Linked DNA regions of Alligator mississippiensis. The protein of the gene in region 1 purifies or fractionates together with the protein of each later gene. This does not show direct contact. Links are inferred from orthologs where the notes say so. Each region holds a gene or a part of one and is shown in the gene's direction. Other genes may lie near its edges.

Region 1 (3,746 bases):
CTAGGTGGTTAAGCAAGGAGTCTTGTCTCATGCACCATCCACTGCAAAAAAATGTCTGCTAAGTTTTATCTGCAGTCTGAGCATGATGTAGCATTAACTAGAAAATGGCTTCTCAGATCCTAGTCTTTTTTGTTTGTCCCGGGGGGTGGCAGGGGCGGAGGGAAATCTTTACAATGAGATGGGCCCAGGATCGCCAAATAAAGAAGGAACCTCAGCCTGTGCTTTTGTACCTTTAGAGGACGACTGCACTTCAGCACGGCACAGGTTATCAGAGACCAATATTTGAAGGTGGCACAAGGAGATCGCAGCACCTGCACGCCCAAGTGGAAATTGGTATTATGTCTGTGTAGAGTCCTCAATACAGGACTGAGATATAGGCTGAGCACATGAAGCAGCCTTTTTTTTTTTAGGTTGCTATTGCCACATGTCTCTTCCCGGCCTACCCAACGTAACCCTAGACACGGCAGGAACGGTGCCCACGTTAGCTCACGTTCTTCTTCCGATGTGCCACCACGAGGGCACCTGGACACGTGCTCGCCCGTAGCCTGCTCGGCGCACACGTGCCGACGGTAGGGTTGCCGGCTCCGAATCTGTTCCAGGAGGTTTCATCCCACGATGGAACAACCCCAGCCCCCCCGGAGTCCACCGGGATCGGCATCTCGGTGACTATTGAAAGCAACACGGGGATTTTAATCGGCTATTTTACGAAAAATCAGTGAATAGGACAAATGCACGGGATTCATGTATGGACGTGCGTAAAACATAACGGCGTCGTCTGATCGCGTGTCTCTTTCCCTTGGCAGCCTAATGACATCGTACGTCATGTACAGTGCAATGAGTGATGTCATATTGCGGAGGGGGGGCAAAAAATCTCCTGGAATAGCTTCAGATTTGACAACTCTATGGGCAAGGGAGAGATGTCCCCATGGGCTAACTCAGCACCAGGCGAGGGCTGCACCCCGCGGCGGGTTGCGACACCCCTGGGCCGGGTAAGGGCGGGGAAGGCGGGAAAACCCTGGAAGCAAATGGCAGCGCGGCGAGGACGGGGTTAAGGGGCCGGGCGGAGCCCCGGGGCGCGGCTAGCAGTCACGTGACCCCGGTCTAGGCCAGGCACTGAGTGCTCTCTCGCGAGAACTCGGCGCTGACGTCATCTCCGTGCGCCGGGCGTGCGTGCGCCTTCGCTGTGTCACGTCGCGTCGTGGAGGGGGCGGAAGCGGCTGCCGGGTCGGACCGGAGCTGAGATAGAGCGAGCGCCCCCCTCCCCCCCGCCATGGAATACCTCATCGGCATCCAGGGCCATGACTACGTGCTCGTCGCCTCCGACACCGTGGCGGCCTCCAGCATCGTGCAGATGAAGCACGGTGAGAGCCGGGAGGGGGATGGGGACCTCCCCCCCTCCCTGCAGCCCTTCCTCTGGTACATGGGGACTTCCCCCCCCCCGTCCCTGCAGCCCCCCCCCCCCCCGTGAATGGGGATCCCTTCCTCCTTCCTTACTTTTAACTGCAGGGAAACTCTGGAGCGACTCCTGTGCTGCAGAGAGGTCGGGCAGCAGGCACATGACCCGGGGTTCACAGCCCTGTGGGTTCCCACTGCAAATCTCTGTCTCCTGGTTGCCCACCTACGAGCACTCTCCTTGCGTGGCCCCGTCGCAAGGATCTCGAGGCAACCATGGAGAACGCTGGCTTAGCGGCTCCCGTTGGGCCTTCCCCTCTAGCCCTACTGATGACAGAGACGTTGTGCGAGGGCATCCAAGCCCAGCCCCTGCTCAAAGCAACAGTGTTTCTGACTAAGGCATCCCAGCCCAGGGTCTCTCTCACCTGCGTTTAAAAGTTTCTGAGCACGGGGAATCCACAACTTCTTGAGGAAACCTGTTCCTGTGCCTGGCCTCACCTCCCTCGTGCTCAGAAACGTCCTCCTCATCTCCAGCCTAAACTTCCCCTGCTGCAGCTTGAGTCTTTTGCATCTCAACTTGTCACTTTTATAACCACAGAGAAAAGCCCATCTCCCATATTTTCTCTAATTATTACCCTTAAGATATTTGAAGACAGTTATCAAATTCCCTTTTGGGCTTCTCGTTCCCAGGCTAAACAACCCTAGTTCTTTCAGCCTTTCCTTTGTCTCCCAGGCCCCTGATCATTTTTGTGGCCCTGGATTCTTTCTAAACTGTCCATGTACTGCTTGAAGTTGGGGCCTGAAATGCTGTATGTTGCATTGGCTAAATGTAGGATCGGAGTCAGTTGGAGCAGGCCAGCAAGATAAGGAGCCAGGGATTATTTGACTAGACCAGCAGTAAGGACAGCACAGAACAGCACGCTCTGGACCTCTTTCTGGATGTTGTTCTGTTATAAGCACTGGATGACAGGGCAATGACTTCCAAAGAGCTCCTCCCACCCAATGAGAGACAGCGTCAGGGAGAACTTGAGGGATGTTAATTGAAACAAATGCATGCATGTCTTGGAGCTTTTGGTTGTTGGGAACCCAGTTCGCACCATCATTTCTTAGTTTCTTCAAGTAGAAAAAACAGCCGTAACTGCTCACCTGAAATACCGTAGTGAGAATAAAAAGCAGTTACTATGTATGTTCTTTAGCGTGAGAGTATGCAAGTTCAAAGTTGAAACGGTACTGGAGAGCTGTTTGCTGATGTACTATATTTATGTAATGCTTACCAGGTCTTTCACTGTAAAGTGTCGTTTTATTTAAATGAGGGGGAAAAACCCTTTTCCAACAGATTTACGCAAACCAGTATAACTTTTTGTTCAAAATGATACAGTGTGCTAAACCTTCTGGACAATAAAGATCATATAAATAAATGATGGCTAAGGTTTTAACTTTTTATTTGTGTTACTTTAATTAACCTACTTTTTATAGTTTTAACTAGTAGGCCTGGATTTGGAAACAAGAGCCTCATCTGGATACAGTACTGTCAGTCTGAATAATGGTTCAGGCGAACCCATGTTTTTTAGGTTCCCTGGTCTAGACTTTGAGTGGGGAAAGGGTTGATCTTTCATATACTTACAGACAGTCAGTTGAAGTGTTTACGGGGGCATAGTTCTTAGAACTAATATAGCTATGTCAAACGAATGCAGTCAACTAACTACGTAAACATATAATTCTTATTTCTCTTAAGAGCTGTACTTTAATTAGAGCAGTACTGTTAGCTCTAGGTGTTCTAAATATTATTTCAGACCCTTCAAAAATCATTTAAGCCTTTTCAAAAAGGTTTCTAATTTACATTTGGGTTTTTGAGCCTTTACAACTTACTCAGTTAACACTTCAAGCTCTTTTTCCCTTGCAACCCAGTCTACTAGGAACTTCCTTTTAAAAAGGGAATGGGGAGGAGGCTATGAACCTGCAATTTCATAAGCTTGGCAGCTGAGGCTTTAAGAAAAATAGCAAGCATGCACCAAATATTAGGAAATGTTTTGCAGAATTGCAGACTGGCAACACTGGCAGCTCCTTCTGAACATGTGTTGTGATAGCCTTTTTATAGGGAGTATACAGTATTGAGGGTTCGGTAATGTTTTCTTCAAATTGCAAGAAAATCAATCTGCACAACGGTTCCTAAATTCTCACGCAGGCAACTTTTAAAGTATTTAACAACTGCATAATACTCTCCAAATCCTATTAAAGGATTGCGATATTTCAGAAGCTTTCTAACATGTCTTCCAGGGGAGATTATGCAGCACTATATAGTAAATTGAAAGTGAAAGTGAGATTCAGATATGGAGATTTAGACTTGTGCTGCA
Region 2 (3,746 bases), on another chromosome or scaffold:
CAGACCCAGCGTGTATCTTAAGAAGGCTACAGGGGTCTGATCAACCTCTTGCCTCTCCCCGTCGCCGCCTGATCCCTCGACGTACCCTTCCTTGTGCGCAAGTTCCACGGAGCCTAGCAAACTTCGTGTGAGTGTATTCAGAGCTCTTTGCTTCGAGTTACTTTCTTCGGTTGACACGACGGGCTTGCGGTTTAGAGCTTTCTACCGGATTGGGCTAGAAGGTTCACGGGAAGGAACTCTAGTCCGCCTCTCTTCTTTTCTGTCTGTAACTGCAACTCAAGCAAGTTTTCCTGCCTGCACTGCGACCATCTTTGGTGTAAGTAAAATAATCTTAAATCAACCACTAAGCGTCCGTGCCTAATTCTAGCGTGCCGCCTGCCTTCCCCGACCCGGCGTGTCCGGGCTGCTGGCCACAGCCCGCCACGCGAAAAAAAAACAAACCCTGAGGGCCTCGGACCGCTCCCGGCCTGCACACACAGGTGGTGCAAATGCCTACCCTGGAAATCTTCAAGAGGAGACTGGACTGTCACTTTGCTGGGGTCACCTGACCCCAGTTGCCTTTCATGCTTGATGCAGGGGGCTGGACCCAGAAACTTGCCACAGGTCCTTCTGGTGTGGCAGCTCAAGGCACCATACCTGGCTGCTGCATGTCAGGGGTCACCCTATGCTTTTACAAACAGGTCAAGTAAGGGCTCTGCATGGGTTGCCGTAGACAGGGAACATCCTCCCTCAGAAGTTGCGCTATATGTCCTCTATGCCTTCCCACTCCGCCTCCTGCGGGGCGGCCTCCAACGGTTTTAACGGCCACGCCTAGCGCCCCTTTGTGGGGTGGGGCCAGGGCCGGACCTCGCTGCCTCCTCCCACAATTACCCAGAGAGAACGCGGATCTGCGTCACGCCCCTCCCCCACACCCACCCCTCTGCTTGGATTCGAGCCTGTGACGCATGCTACCCGAGTACCCGATCATCGACGTGCGCCTGCGCACTTCAGCCCTGCTCACCACCTGCGTTCGTGCGCGCTCGCAGGACGCAGGTCCTGTGAGGATCGCCCAATCATCGATCCCCAACGTCACCTGTGGGGCAGGGAGCAGGGTGCGCGCCCCATGACCTAGGGGCGAGGCCGGGGCGGGGCTCCCATGGAGTGAGGAAGTGGCGTCACCAACCCAAATAACAACACCCCCCAGCAGCAGCAGCAGCAGCAGCAGCAGCTGCTGCCGCGTCGGCGCCGCCAGGTTGGATCCTTAGGCAGGAGCGAAAAGGCGTCGCTGCCGCCGCCATGAAGCTCCGCGCCCGGCTGCAGAAGCAGACGGCTCCGCTCGAGGTGGGGGGGGCGGAGCCAACACTGGGGGAGCTGCGCGCGCACCTGTGCCAGGCCGTGCTGCCCGCGTGGGGGTACAGGTACGGACCCAACCACTGGGGGAGGGGCGTGGCGCTCGTTCTGTACCATGTCCCTAGCCCCTCGGCGGACTGCGGCGCCGGCAGTCCGCTGGACAGCCCTCCCCGCAGGCTGCGGGGACGCCCGAGAGCAGCGCTGGGGCTGAGGGGATGGGTCACGTGACCCGGCCGCGCGATGGCTTCTTACCACGCCCTCTGGCGAAGGCGAGGCTGCTGGGGGTGCTGGCACCTGGCTGCGTGACTTGGGGCTGTGGGCGGGGCCTGGCTCTGGGGGCCACCTGAGGTGGGTGGAGCTGTGGCCTCCACTGGCGCCCCCGGCGGGTCCCTTGGGCCTTGGCCCCCACGCTGCCACCACCCTTGTCGCAGCAGGGGTTTGTGGCTGTCTCTGTCCCCAGAGTTGCCCTCATGGGCTCGGAGAGGCTCAGTCCCCTGCTTCTCCACCAGTTGATCTCCCCCACCCTGGGTGCTGCCTGGAGAGCCTTTCAGGGGTACTGGAGTGATGGTGTAGCTGTGATGGTCAAGGAAATACTCAAAAGGCAAGGGTTTTTCTGGGGGCAGTGGGTCATGTCTCTTGTTGGACCTACTGCAAGGTTGGGTGAGATTTTGTCACAAGTTTTCTTGTGCCTGAAAGCTTGTCTAAATGTTTTCCCAGTCATGCACTGGAACCAGTATAAAATATCACCCACCCCCATCCCCCAAATCCTTGGCTCAATTGCTTTTTGCGCATTCATGTAATACATTTTATCTTGACACATTCATCTCTAAACTTTCCTGCAGAGAAATTTGTTGAAAAGTAGTCACAGCAATGAACTCTTGCTCCTCTGCTGCAAACCCATTCAGTCTGCCACACTGAAGTAAAGTGTTTCACAGCCAGCATGCATGTACACTACCAGCCCACTGGACCCTAATTGCAGTATGGTATTTAGAGACTCCTATAGGACTCACCAAAGAAGGGAACTTTTTCTATTAAGTGATGGCCTGGTTTTCTCCGATTTGAAAAAAAAAAAAAAAAGACAGTTTTCAGATTTAAAAAAGTATCCCAAAATCCACATTTCTCTGTGATCAAAATGCACATGTGTACATACACACACGCACACACACATTTCATCATATGTGCACAAGTGATGTACATCTGTGATCATATAGTGGTGTTTCATTTTGATCATGGAAAATGGATATGGGGTTACTTTTTTAACTGAAAACTCGGGATTTTTTTTTTTTTTATCAGAGAAAACTAGGATCTGCTGATGGCTTTTTGTGCCATCAGAACATAATCATGCACTGAAACAGCTTTGCCCACAGGTCGCCTTTGTAATTGAAGGTAGGAGGTCGCATGTGGCTTCTTGAAACAAATGCATTGATTTAATTGGAAAGCGAGGTGGCTTAGACTGTTAGGCCGTTGTTTTAAAAGTTAGCTGGCCACAAAGGGAAGATTTCTGCCCTGATTTGCCCAAGATGATAGGTTACTTTAGGAGGGCTTCCAGATGCATTTGTTTTGTAAAGGCACATTGCAGACTAAAGCAGTTTTTGGAAAGCAGGCATGCTTATACCTACTCCTAAGTACTCAGACTTTGTAAGTTTCTGTGCATTAGGTAAAATTATCATAAAGAGAAAAACAGAGGGACTTATGTTAGTCTCTGTCAAAGATTTATATTATGGTCATTTATTTTTCCAGCAATTCCTTTAGCATGGGGCTGATTGAGACTGGGTTTCAGGCTTAACAAAGCAGTTTAATACTACTACTACTATATTTTGTGTAGTTGGAATGAATAATTTAAAGGGATGCTAGTGCACATGTCCGAGCAGTTTATTTCTGTCTTTGCAGTTCTGATACCCAGTTTGCAATAACATTGAACAACAAAGATGCCCTTACTGAAGACCAGGAGACCCTGGCTTCATATGGAATTGTTTCAGGGGATTTGATATGTTTGTTACTGGAAGAGACCAATGCAGCACACAGCCTATCTCCACACTCGTCTTCACCTCCTCCCCAGCTCCAGAATAATCATGAACTGTCCACCTTGAACATCAGCCAAGGTCAGATCAGCAGTTCAGAAGAAAGCAGGCAGAATGGACCATCTGAAGACCATAAAGCTCCAAGCGAAGATGAGAAGAATGATGATATTGATATGGTAAGGACTGCGGTGCACAGATGATGATATGCCATGTTTATAATGTTGATTGCTAGACCACTTAGCTGTGCATAAGCCTGAAGCATTGTGATTCTCGCTGCTTGCTTGGTGTATGATCAATGACTCATTAGCCTGGTGCTTTGTCCCAGTTTATAATCTGTTAAAGTTTGTCCATGCCAGAAAAGTTAGTTAAATGGTTTCAGGGTGTTTCACATGTCAC

The links. Proteins that work in one complex are often made in the same cells at the same time.
Region 2: the proteins of PSMB2 (region 1) and FBXO7 purify together in Homo sapiens (affinity purification with mass spectrometry; 3 studies listed by BioGRID and IntAct, counting the BioPlex papers as one, with this or other methods). This does not show direct contact. The link is inferred for Alligator mississippiensis from reciprocal best matches to the Homo sapiens genes PSMB2 and FBXO7.

What each region holds. Positions count from the first base shown.
Region 1 is NC_081829.1:8,712,327-8,716,072, reverse strand, and holds the start of PSMB2 (proteasome subunit beta type-2), read left to right. Parts: upstream 1-1,175; 5' UTR 1,176-1,270; coding exon 1,271-1,361; intron 1,362-3,746. UniProt on the Homo sapiens protein: Non-catalytic component of the 20S core proteasome complex involved in the proteolytic degradation of most intracellular proteins. This complex plays numerous essential roles within the cell by associating with different regulatory particles.
Region 2 is NC_081827.1:103,411,939-103,415,684, reverse strand, and holds the start of FBXO7 (F-box only protein 7), read left to right. Parts: upstream 1-1,272; 5' UTR 1,273-1,275; coding exon 1,276-1,397; intron 1,398-3,219; coding exon 3,220-3,526; intron 3,527-3,746. UniProt on the Homo sapiens protein: Substrate recognition component of a SCF (SKP1-CUL1-F-box protein) E3 ubiquitin-protein ligase complex which mediates the ubiquitination and subsequent proteasomal degradation of target proteins and plays a role in several biological processes such as cell cycle, cell proliferation, or maintenance of chromosome stability.